Linked DNA regions of Arabidopsis thaliana. The protein of the gene in region 1 interacts with the protein of each later gene in a pairwise test. Each region holds a gene or a part of one and is shown on either strand. Other genes may lie near its edges.

Region 1 (4,255 bases):
AGTTAGTCAATGGTGTCAGGGAAAGTGGTGATAACTTCTTTAATTTCGCAAGCATGTTGTACTCGGATGGGCATAGTCTCATCTTTTTGTAAGGATGATATGAGATTTGCATTAAGAAACAATATACACTAGCTAATAATATTCTGCAATACAATTTTCTACGACATATTTTTATGTAATTTTATTGTTTCTAAACTCAAATCTCATAGCATCTTACAAAACGATGTCATGCATGTTAAGAAAAAAGAAAAAAAAGAACTTGAGCATTAATGTGGTTGCGATATGTCAACTATTTTAAGTTTTTAACTAATTGTACACTTCAAAGAATAAATAGGAGATATTTTTTTCATTCGAGTTTAATCAAATTATGCTGTGTAGCAAACTAGCAATCTTAGATGTAAAGATTCAATTGGGGTAAACTCAGTGTTTTGTTCTTTAATAGAAATATATCTAGAATGAAGATTTTTTGGTAGGAAATAATTGAATAATTGTTAGAGGAACAAACTGAATTAGATATAGATTTTGTAGAATAAATTATAAAACGTTGTAAAGTTAGTTTTAATTTGTTTTGTCTAGTTATTACGTTTTCAAAACACTAAACCGTAAAAGCTGAATGAATCGCAATCACGTTTTTCAAAAATGAAAACATGAATGAGATATATACTCTCTCTATTTCTTATTATTTTATTATTTAGAAAAAAATTGTTTTAAGAAAATTAATTTTTTAAATTTTGTATGCAATATTAATTGGTTATTAATGATGAATATCAACCTTCAAAATAAATAATTTAATATTATTGGTTTAGAATTAATAAAAAATATAAATTACAAAAAATAATATATTAATAATCAGTTTTTGATATATATTTTTTTAGTATGTATGTTTTCTCTAAAAAAACATAAATATTAAAAAATAGAGAAAATACTATTTATCCCGAAAACTAATTCAAAACTAGAGATGACTTATTATTTTAAAATGAGGGAAAATATCAAGATGACGAGGACCTAGACTGCGATAAGTCAAATAACATTAAATGTTTGAGCAAATTGCAACATCATTTTAGCAAATTTCAACGTTACAGCAGTGGCATGGTTCAAGCATCTAAGTATATAGTAATACATTTTGCTGACATAATTCACGAAATTTATAAAACTCAACCTTTTTTTTTTGAATTCTATACTTAATAAAGATATAACTATTACATCATTTATGAAATTCATAAAGAGACGTTTATTTGAGAATGTGATCAAGCATGTAGAAAACTCTCTTTCTCTTTTTTTTTTTCTTTTTCTGAACTGAATATACAATTTATTCAACCCCAAAAACCAACGTTTTTACATCAAGTGCATATTTTTTTTTTAAAAAGATAATAATACAAAGATTTAGCTTCTTGTACAGTACTTCAGTATTTATCTAACATTTTTATCTCATAACTCGTATCGATGATGGCCTGTTTCGAATTTGTTTAGCGATGTGTTTGTCAGTTTAATAAGTACAAGAAACTCATCTAAGAATCTTTATGTATACATGACATGACATACTATATATGATGCATTATGGCCTATGAGCTAGTAATTCACATATATACATATACAAGTCGGAAGCTTACCATTATTATCTTCTGGTCGACGCATTCAACATTTTTATCATTCACGCGACAACTTATGTGGTCAATTCTTTTCTATATAAATAAATACACGATATGGATGCAATTAACTTAGATACATTTACACTTCCATGTTTATATTTACTTTTCTTGTAAAACGATTAAAGCTGGTATATGATATCAAAAATAAAACAAAAAAAATGAAAGTGATATATAGATAAGACTTTAAAGATACTTACAAATGAGTTATAAAGTCTTTTGGTTCTATATATTCAACTCACTTGCAACTATGAGAGAGTAAACCGACACAATAACAACAACAACAACAACAAAAAAAAAAAAAAAAAAGGCCAACGTTCAGTGATCTAGGCTATGAAGATTACAAAACCACATGTGGCCATGTTCGCTAGCCCCGGAATGGGCCACATCATCCCGGTGATCGAGCTCGGAAAACGCTTAGCTGGTTCCCACGGCTTCGATGTCACCATTTTCGTCCTTGAAACCGACGCAGCCTCAGCTCAATCTCAATTCCTTAACTCACCAGGCTGCGACGCGGCCCTTGTTGATATCGTTGGCCTCCCAACGCCCGATATCTCCGGTTTAGTCGACCCATCAGCCTTTTTTGGGATCAAGCTCTTGGTCATGATGCGTGAGACCATTCCTACCATCCGGTCAAAGATAGAGGAGATGCAACACAAACCAACGGCTCTGATCGTAGACTTGTTTGGTTTGGACGCGATACCGCTCGGTGGTGAGTTCAACATGTTGACTTATATCTTCATCGCTTCAAACGCACGTTTTCTCGCGGTGGCTTTGTTTTTCCCAACGTTGGACAAAGACATGGAAGAAGAGCACATAATCAAGAAGCAACCTATGGTTATGCCTGGATGTGAACCGGTTCGGTTTGAAGATACACTTGAAACATTCCTTGACCCAAACAGCCAACTCTACCGGGAATTTGTTCCTTTCGGTTCGGTTTTCCCAACGTGTGATGGTATTATTGTGAATACATGGGATGATATGGAGCCCAAAACTTTGAAATCTCTTCAAGACCCAAAGCTCTTGGGTCGAATTGCTGGTGTACCGGTTTATCCAATTGGTCCTTTGTCTAGACCGGTTGATCCATCTAAAACTAATCATCCGGTTTTGGATTGGTTAAACAAACAGCCGGACGAGTCGGTACTTTACATTTCATTTGGAAGCGGTGGCTCTCTCTCGGCTAAACAACTAACCGAATTGGCTTGGGGACTTGAGATGAGTCAGCAACGGTTCGTTTGGGTGGTTCGACCCCCGGTGGACGGTTCAGCTTGCAGTGCATATTTATCCGCTAACAGTGGTAAAATACGAGACGGTACACCTGATTATCTCCCGGAAGGTTTTGTTAGCCGGACTCATGAGAGAGGCTTTATGGTCTCTTCTTGGGCTCCCCAAGCGGAGATCTTGGCCCACCAAGCCGTAGGTGGGTTTCTAACTCACTGCGGTTGGAATTCGATTCTCGAGAGCGTCGTTGGTGGCGTTCCGATGATCGCGTGGCCACTTTTTGCGGAGCAGATGATGAACGCGACACTCCTCAACGAAGAGCTTGGCGTTGCCGTCCGCTCTAAGAAACTACCGTCGGAGGGAGTGATTACGAGGGCGGAGATCGAGGCGTTGGTGAGAAAGATCATGGTGGAGGAGGAAGGTGCTGAGATGAGAAAGAAGATAAAGAAGCTGAAAGAGACCGCTGCCGAATCGCTGAGTTGCGACGGTGGAGTGGCGCATGAATCGTTGTCAAGAATCGCCGACGAGAGCGAGCATCTTTTGGAGCGTGTCAGGTGCATGGCACGTGGTGCCTAGGAACGCTTACCGTTTATAGTATGTTACTTATAAACTGCGTGTCGTTTTACCCTTTTGGGTATCTTGTATTATATAGTTTCCGAGTCTTGGTTGCCACATGGTATCACGTGGTTTTGTTTTGGTCAATGCTAGTCCCTATCAGTAATGTATTTTACAATGTAAAATAAATAATTAGTGTTTAATTTGTATAATAAGTAGCTCCTTTTTTAATTGCTAAGTCTTCGGTTATTTAACGGTAACAAATATGGTTGTATATGATTAATATTTAATACTTGACGTCAATATGAAACGGTGAATTAAAATCATGATTCATGAGTATAGGAATCTGATGATATACAAAATCATTATGATGATGATAATCGCATTAGTTATATTCTCACCAAAAAAATTGCATTAGTTATATATGAAGATTTTTTTAATTAGCTAATCATTACTAATCTCCTTAGGAAATTCAAATTGTATATATGATTCTCTCTTATTGACTTGGTTTGGAACACGCAGCTAAAGTGATCTTCGACTATAACTTTTTAATTCAATCATTTTTTTTTTCAATTCTTTTTCCACTATTTGTTATTCCAGTTCTTCTCATTTTTTCAGAGTATTTCTATATATGTGTAAACCGTCCTTTTTTTGGGGGGGTCAAACTCTAACTGTTGTAAACCGTCGTTTTTCTGTTGAAACATTACAAAAAAAAAAAAAAAAAAAACTCGTTACAATCTTCGTAAAAATTATAAGAATTTAAAACGTAACAAAGGAAATAAGGAACAGGACCAGCCTTAAATTGTAAAACATATTTTCACAGCTTTTGTATA
Region 2 (7,577 bases), on another chromosome or scaffold:
CGCTTTTTTTTATTGGCTTAAACCAAACATAACGTGTAGTAAATAGAAACTCTCCATTCACTTCTTCTTTTTTTGTTTGTTTAAATGTTACTAAGATTTATACCAAATCAAAAATATTTTCTTATGTTTTCGGACAAAACTCAAGCCCCATTTACTTTTTTTTTTTTTTTTGTATGTTTTAATGTTACTATAAGATTTATTCCAAATCAAAAATCTTTTCTTATGTTTTCGGACAAATCTCAAGCCGCCCAAAATTGAATTGTTAGCCAACTACCCTTGAGCACTTAAAACCTCCAATCGTTTTCCTTTTTTCTTGTTTTATTTTATGGAATACAGATCCTTTATACTATAAAATAGATTTTTGAGAAGTGTCATAGTTGGAAAAGTAGATAACATATTTAAGTCGAATGGGGGGGGGGATGAATATGAAAACCACGGTAATAGTATATTTTTGTTTTTTACCGTATTTATCATTCCAGTATATAAAAATTAAAATGTAAAGTTTAATTTTTAAAAAAAATTACGTATAAATTATTTCAACAAATAATCATCTTCTATGGTGGAAAACAATTTCCAAGACACATAAAGAGTTACCTTAATTAATGATACATTAAAAAAAAATTACCTGATGGTTTCTGAACCTCACAATCGTGTGGACACTATAGAGTTGATCACTGGAAAAATCATAAATATTCGTGTTGGTCAACTATTGGCTCATAGCTCACACCATTTAATAAGTTCAAAGAAGATACAATGATTACCTATTACATAAATCATACATGCATACGTGTGGTTGTCCATATTTTGACATTAATCATATACTATAATAAACTCATATATTTTGTGCATATATGACATACATAGCTATCTCTATTGTAAGTTGTAAGTCGTAACCACTATATAAACTAATTAATTACATATGTATATAGTGATAGATATGTTGAATGATCGAAGAGATAACGGTGTCTCTTCACGAAAATAGAGTTTCATCAAAAGCAAGATAACGGAGTACTAATTATCTAACTCGTTAATTAATTGAGCTCTATCTTAGTAAGATTCACCGGACACTGCAATATACAATTAACCACGTGCTTTTCAAGTGAATATTCAGTTAAATTCTCATTTGTCTTTTCTTTAGAATTGACACCTTAAGCTATTTCTAGTCATTCTCAAAATATAAAAAGTTAATGGTCCTTAATTGCCGTGACAATTGCTATTCTTCTTTTATTCCCAAAAGAGATACAAGTATAAAAGATCGAAACGCTATACTATTTATTAAAAAAAATAAAAATACAGTTTTAATTATATGACCAAAAAGACTTTTGATATATTTGATCGAAAAATGAAAATTGATTTAGAACTTGATTGGTTCTCCTACTACCATATGCAAATGTTGAGTTTGCGGTTGCTAGCGTTTAAAATGAATCAAAGAAATTGCTTTAAACCACTTTGGATAGTTTTTTTATTGTTCTAATGCAAAATTTTAAAGAAAACATTCCCGTAAGTATTTTTATTTATATATTAGTGAATTAAGGACAAAAAATGTATCTCACAGTTTTCTCAGAATTTTCTTTTTTGACATAGTAATGAATAAATTGATGTAGATTCTATGCTGTTTATAGAAACAAAAAGTAACCGTTTTAAATGCCTCAATTGACGTTAAGTCTGTCTTGGTGCAATTTAATTATGTTTCGTCATCATCTTTTCAAGTTCACGCACTAAGCTTAGTGAAAAAGATACGCCTTTTTTCTTGTTCTGTTTTGTTTTGCATGTCACAGTAAGTAACTCTCCTCCTCAATTATCAAAAATGCAAACTTTAATTTTCTTCTAGAGAAGAGCCACTCTCTCCACTTCTTTCTTTGTCCAACTTTTTAGACAGAGAAAGTGGCGTCAGAGATAGATAGAGAGATACATATTCAAGTTGGTTGAAGGAGGAGAATTAGCGGTTCATATCAGTACGGAGAAAATTGTCAGTCATATGCTTTTTTTCTTTAAATTCTGCATTTGAGTGGGTGTGTGCTTTTAACCATTTTGGTGATTTATCAAAAAAAAAAAAAAAATTCTGTGTGTTTTGAGCTCAAGCTCTCTACAAATTTTGCTGTCTCAAGTTTTTGCCTTTTGAAGTCCAATAAAGTTGAAATCTTTGTTCTTTTTGATTGGTCTTCGTGAATTCCGGTGAAAGTTTCAAACTTTTGATTTAAATTCCGGGGAGGAATTAGGGTTTATGAAAGTAAAAGAAGAAACTTTGAAGAATTTGGGAGATGGAGTGGTTTTAAGACCTGTTGATCATTGTTCTAGCATTTGGAGTATGAAGATGAACATGAAGAACTTTCTTAAGAAACTTCATATCTCGCCCAATCAATCAGATGAAGCTGAAGGATCAATTTCAACAACTAAGAGCAATCATCATAAGTCTATCGATGTATCATCATCATCATCACCGAGGTCTCATCACAGCAATAGCCCTGAAATCAAACCTTTTTCTGGTTTATCTAATTGGTTAAGTTCTGTTGGTCATAGAAAAATCCCTAGTCCTCCTAATTCTTTCAATGCCAAGAACAGAGCCGCCACGGTTGATGACACTGTTGTTGTTAATGGGTCAGAACATGTGGATTTAGGTTCCAAAGATCCAGCTGTTGAAGAAGAGAATCAGATACAGTTGGCTTTAGAGTTAAGTGCTAGAGAAGATCCTGAGGCTACTCAGATTGAGGCTATTAAGCAATTCAGTTTAGGCTCTTGTGCTCCTGAGAACTCTCCAGCTGAACTCATCGCTTATCGCTACTGGGTAAGCTTTTGATTCAATTGTTTTCTCTGCATAACAGAAACTCTTTAGTTACTCCCAAGAACTCATTTCATTTTGGTATTGTTGCATTCACAGAATTACAATTGTCTTGGCTATGATGACAAGATCTTGGATGGTTTTTATGACTTGTATGGAGTGTTGAATGCATCCTCAGCAGAAAGAATACCTCCTTTGCTCGATCTTCAAGGGACACCTGTTTCAGACGGTGTGACATGGGAAGCTGTTCTTGTGAACAGAAGTGGGGATTCTAATCTGTTGAGACTTGAACAGATGGCTCTTGATATTGCTGCTAAATCAAGATCAGTTTCTTCCTCTGGTTTTGTGAATAGTGAATTGGTAAGGAAACTGGCTATTTTAGTGGGAGATTACATGGGTGGACCAGTCGTGCACCCAGAGAGCATGTTGAGAGCTTGGAGGAGTCTTAGCTATAGTTTGAAAGCAACTCTTGGAAGCATGGTTTTGCCACTTGGTTCTCTGACTATTGGTTTGGCTCGTCACCGAGCCTTGTTATTCAAAGTATGCACTTTTTCTTCTGAATCTCAGCACTTTTAAGTTTATTTCATTTCTTATGGTTCTTTCTTTATATGAAACTTTGTAGGTATTGTGTGATAGTGTTGGTGTTCCTTGTCGAATAGTCAAAGGTCAGCAATATACCGGTTCTGAAGATGTGGCAATGAACTTTATTAAGGCTGATGATGGCAGGTAATCATCACATTAATGTGTAGATTCAATATTTGTCTATCATTCATGTATATTGTTATCTAATCTGCACCTCCTGAAGCTAATATTGAGGCTTAAAGAAAGAAACTTTGTTATATGCTATTCAATTGTGAATTTCAGGGAGTACATTGTTGATCTTATGGGAGATCCCGGCACGCTTATTCCAGCTGATGCAGCTGGACTACAAATAGACTATGATGAATCTGCCTATTCCGCTAGTCCTGGAGACAATGATTCAATTCATGTAGCTTCTTCCAGCAATGGTATTGAAAGCTCATATGAAGAGAATACAGAGTTTCGAACAGGGGAACATCGTTCTAGTACCAAGAGTTCTGGGGAGAGAAACCAATCCGGAGGTGGAGGCGATCTCATTGTTCATCCAAATATTTCTAGAGAAGATGTGAAAAATCAGAAGAAAGTTGAAAAGGCTCCATTTCAAAATCTGTCTAGCAGGCCTATTCATTCTTTCACCCATATGAGATCACCTTCTTGGACTGAAGGGGTTAGCTCCCCAGCTGCACAAAGGATGAAAGTCAAAGATGTTTCACAATATATGATTGATGCTGCTAAAGAGAATCCACGGTTAGCTCAGAAGCTTCATGATGTATTACTTGAAAGCGGAGTTGTAGCTCCTCCCAATTTATTTTCCGAAGTCTATCCCCAGCAATTGGAGGCAACTGTTGAAAGCAAAAACTCGACTGAAGCCAAGAAAGAGAGAGGAAAAGATTTAGAGACAACTCAGGAAGGAAGACACCAAAACGGTTTTGGTCCAGTGAGGTTTTTGCCTCCATTACCAAGAGTGCAATCTAAAACAAATGCACATGATCAACGTGATAATGGCAAAGTTGTAAGTCAGTCTGATTCTTCACATTCTGAAGCATCTTCGACAGAATATGCCAGAACCGTCCCTGCTGCTGTAGCTGCAGCTGCTGTTGTTGCATCTTCCATGGTTGCTGCTGCTGCTGCCAAGTCTGCAAACTCAGACTCCTCCCCCATAGAACTTCCTGCTGCAGCTGCTGCCACGGCCACTGCTGCTGCAGTTGTGGCAACAGCTGCAGCCGTGTCCAGGCAACTTGAATTAGGCTCGAATAGCGACGGGGATGATGGTTCTGGTGGGCATGAGCCTCAAGGTAGTGGGGACTCTAATCATGGGCCAAATTCAGGAGGGGAAAGAATATCTGACAAATCTATTGGCAATGAAAGTTCTAAGTCAGACTGTGATGATGTATCTGACTGTGAGATTTTGTGGGAAGAAATTACTGTGGGAGAACGTATTGGACTTGGTACCTGACTTATCATCATCTGTTATCTGCTTTGGTGTAACTACATCTTCAAATAATTAACTACTTTACTTCTTTTGATACAGGATCTTATGGAGAAGTGTATCGGGGAGATTGGCACGGGACTGTGAGTATTATATTTGCTTTTCCAATTTATACTGTGAATTTGAACTCGATGAAAAAAGAGTTTAGAAATTCCTTAGTTTGAGTTCCATATCGTCGAAACTCTTGAACTTTAGGAAGTGGCTGTCAAGAAGTTCCTTGATCAAGATTTAACAGGAGAAGCATTGGAGGAATTCAGAAGTGAGGTACGAGCCTTTCTTCTAATCTTTTCTTTTACCTGATTTTCCATGTTGATTAGTTCTATATCAAACCCTTCTTATATATTCTTGTGATACAAGGTCCGAATCATGAAAAAGCTAAGACATCCCAACATTGTTCTCTTCATGGGAGCTGTGACTCGCCCACCGAATCTTTCAATTGTTACAGAGTTTCTTCCTAGGTAATACTATGATCTTTGCAAGATTCAGTTACTTTGATATGATTCTCATGGCTACAACGATTTCCATCTCCTTATTCATGATGCGCATGCCTCTGTTTTTATCTATTTTGTGACCTCTAAATGCCAAAATCTTCTTTGCATCAATGAGTGTTGTTCAAGTATTTGCTTTAAGTTCTAAAATCTGGATGGTTTGAACAGGTTCAATCCGGTTGTGCTTCGTTTTTGGATCTTTACATTATAATATTTTTTTCCAAACTTGTGCAGAGGTAGCTTGTATAGGTTAATCCACCGGCCAAATAACCAATTAGACGAGAGGAGGCGCCTGAGAATGGCCCTTGATGCTGTATTAGTCTTTTCTTCTCTTACTATATCACCTGTTTGTAACTTCTTGATTCTTTCAGTAGAGTGTTGAGGTAACATATTACTTGTATTCAGGCTCGTGGAATGAACTATTTGCACAGCTGTAATCCGATGATTGTCCATCGCGATCTTAAGTCCCCAAACCTTCTAGTTGACAAAAACTGGGTCGTGAAGGTCAGATTCTCTCCATAAAATTTATTGTTTCTTACCAAGTGGATAATGTTATATCGTATGTAACAGCTATAAGTTTACATAACAAATACTGGATTTTCATATATATCAGGTGTGTGATTTTGGATTGTCTAGGATGAAACACAGTACATACCTCTCTTCAAAGTCAACAGCAGGGACGGTAAGAAGCAAGTTATAGTCTCCCCTGTCTTAATCATCTCTTTTTACAGTTATTGTAATTGCCAGTTCGTTAATCTAATTATGTGTTGGTCTTATAAAGGCTGAATGGATGGCTCCAGAAGTGCTAAGAAACGAACCTGCTGATGAGAAGTATGCTCTTAGATCTTTTGCTACTAGATATTCATTTTGTTCCCTTTTGTCAGAAGCAGGCCTAATGTCAGGAAAAAACAATACGTGAAACAGGTGCGATGTTTACAGCTACGGTGTGATCTTATGGGAACTCTTTACGTTACAACAACCGTGGGGAAAGATGAACCCGATGCAAGTAGTTGGGGCAGTTGGGTTTCAGCATCGACGTCTTGACATTCCCGACTTTGTAGATCCAGCAATTGCAGATCTCATCAGTAAATGCTGGCAGACGTGAGTATAGATTATTTTTCAATGTTTCAGCCACAATATGAAGTAGCAGTGCTTAAACAACATCATTTCACTTGACCATGTCTCAGTTAACACATGTAATGGCTTTGTGTGTGTTTATCAGGGATTCAAAGTTAAGGCCAAGTTTTGCAGAGATAATGGCGTCTCTAAAGCGGCTACAGAAACCTGTAACAGGTTCCAACATCCCAAGACCAGTCCCCAGTTCCTCTTCATTACCAACTGAACATGAACAAAAGGATTGATAACAGAAGAAGACGACCAAAGTGGCAAACACATTTTTGACGAATTCAATCTGTTTGAAGGAAAAAAAAGCTACAAATGTTCCTTCTCTGCTACTTTTTGCCTCAGCTTCAGTGTTTGACACAGCTTGTGAATTGTGAAAAAGAAAGATTCATGGAAGATGACGATTGAAGAAGGTGAAGGATTGTGCTCGTGTGTTTTGTTGTCTTTGCTTGCAAGCGATGTTCATGTTCATGCGTAATTTCCTCTATTTTGTTTTCCAATATTGAAACTGTACAAAGAGAGAAAGAAAAAACAATTGACAAACTCGTCGAAACGTTGACCGAAAACATATATTAAAAAAAATCATTGAGCTCTGTCTTTATTCATCACACGAACAAGATAAGGCTGATCTTTATTATTGGGATATATGAATCAAAATAATATAATATTTTAAAAAACTTTGCTTTTACGAAAAATCTTTGACAATGGCGACTCTCTTCACTGCGACGGTTCCTTCTCACCACCGTTTCGTCTCTCCATCCCAACATCCGAAACAGAGTCTTCTATCGCAGTCGCTAAGCGTCACATTCACGGAGAATCCACAACCAACGGCGGTGGTCACATTGCAGGAGCAGCAATTGACGGATTGGATTACTTCTCCGGTGACGCGACGGTTCGGAATCGGCGCCGGGTTTACCTGGGCTGGGTTTTTAGCTTTCGGTGTTGTCTCCGAGCAGATGAAGAAGTCACGACTCGATGTGTTTCAGGAAGAGGATAACACAAGGTTACTCTTACTCATCAAGACTTCGAATTATTCTCTTGTTAAGAACTAAAGATGGAAAATTTAAGTGAATGTTAGCAATTAGGGATTTGATAATACAATCAAAGACTTGAGCTCATA

The links.
Region 2: the proteins of UGT72E1 (region 1) and AT1G73660 interact in a two-hybrid assay, tested with the Arabidopsis thaliana proteins (one study listed by BioGRID).

Annotation. Positions count from the first base shown.
Region 1 is NC_003074.8:18,854,536-18,858,790, reverse strand, and holds UGT72E1 (UDP-glucosyl transferase 72E1), read left to right. Parts: upstream 1-1,750; 5' UTR 1,751-1,979; coding exon 1,980-3,443; 3' UTR 3,444-3,748; downstream 3,749-4,255. UniProt on the Arabidopsis thaliana protein: UDP-glycosyltransferase that glucosylates coniferyl aldehyde to form coniferyl aldehyde 4-O-glucoside. Glucosylates sinapyl aldehyde to form sinapyl aldehyde 4-O-glucoside. Is not active in presence of coniferyl alcohol or sinapyl alcohol.
Region 2 is NC_003070.9:27,691,366-27,698,942, reverse strand, and holds AT1G73660 (protein tyrosine kinase family protein), read left to right. Parts: upstream 1-1,570; 5' UTR 1,571-2,224; coding exon 2,225-2,785; intron 2,786-2,878; coding exon 2,879-3,319; intron 3,320-3,401; coding exon 3,402-3,505; intron 3,506-3,643; coding exon 3,644-4,806; intron 4,807-4,889; coding exon 4,890-4,930; intron 4,931-5,042; coding exon 5,043-5,111; intron 5,112-5,204; coding exon 5,205-5,305; intron 5,306-5,569; coding exon 5,570-5,648; intron 5,649-5,740; coding exon 5,741-5,839; intron 5,840-5,948; coding exon 5,949-6,017; intron 6,018-6,116; coding exon 6,117-6,166; intron 6,167-6,259; coding exon 6,260-6,436; intron 6,437-6,557; coding exon 6,558-6,696; 3' UTR 6,697-7,050; downstream 7,051-7,577. Other genes in the region: AT1G73655 (FKBP-like peptidyl-prolyl cis-trans isomerase family protein), read left to right, coding at 7,162-7,460. UniProt on the Arabidopsis thaliana protein: Acts as a negative regulator of salt tolerance. Mediates sugar response during early seedling development.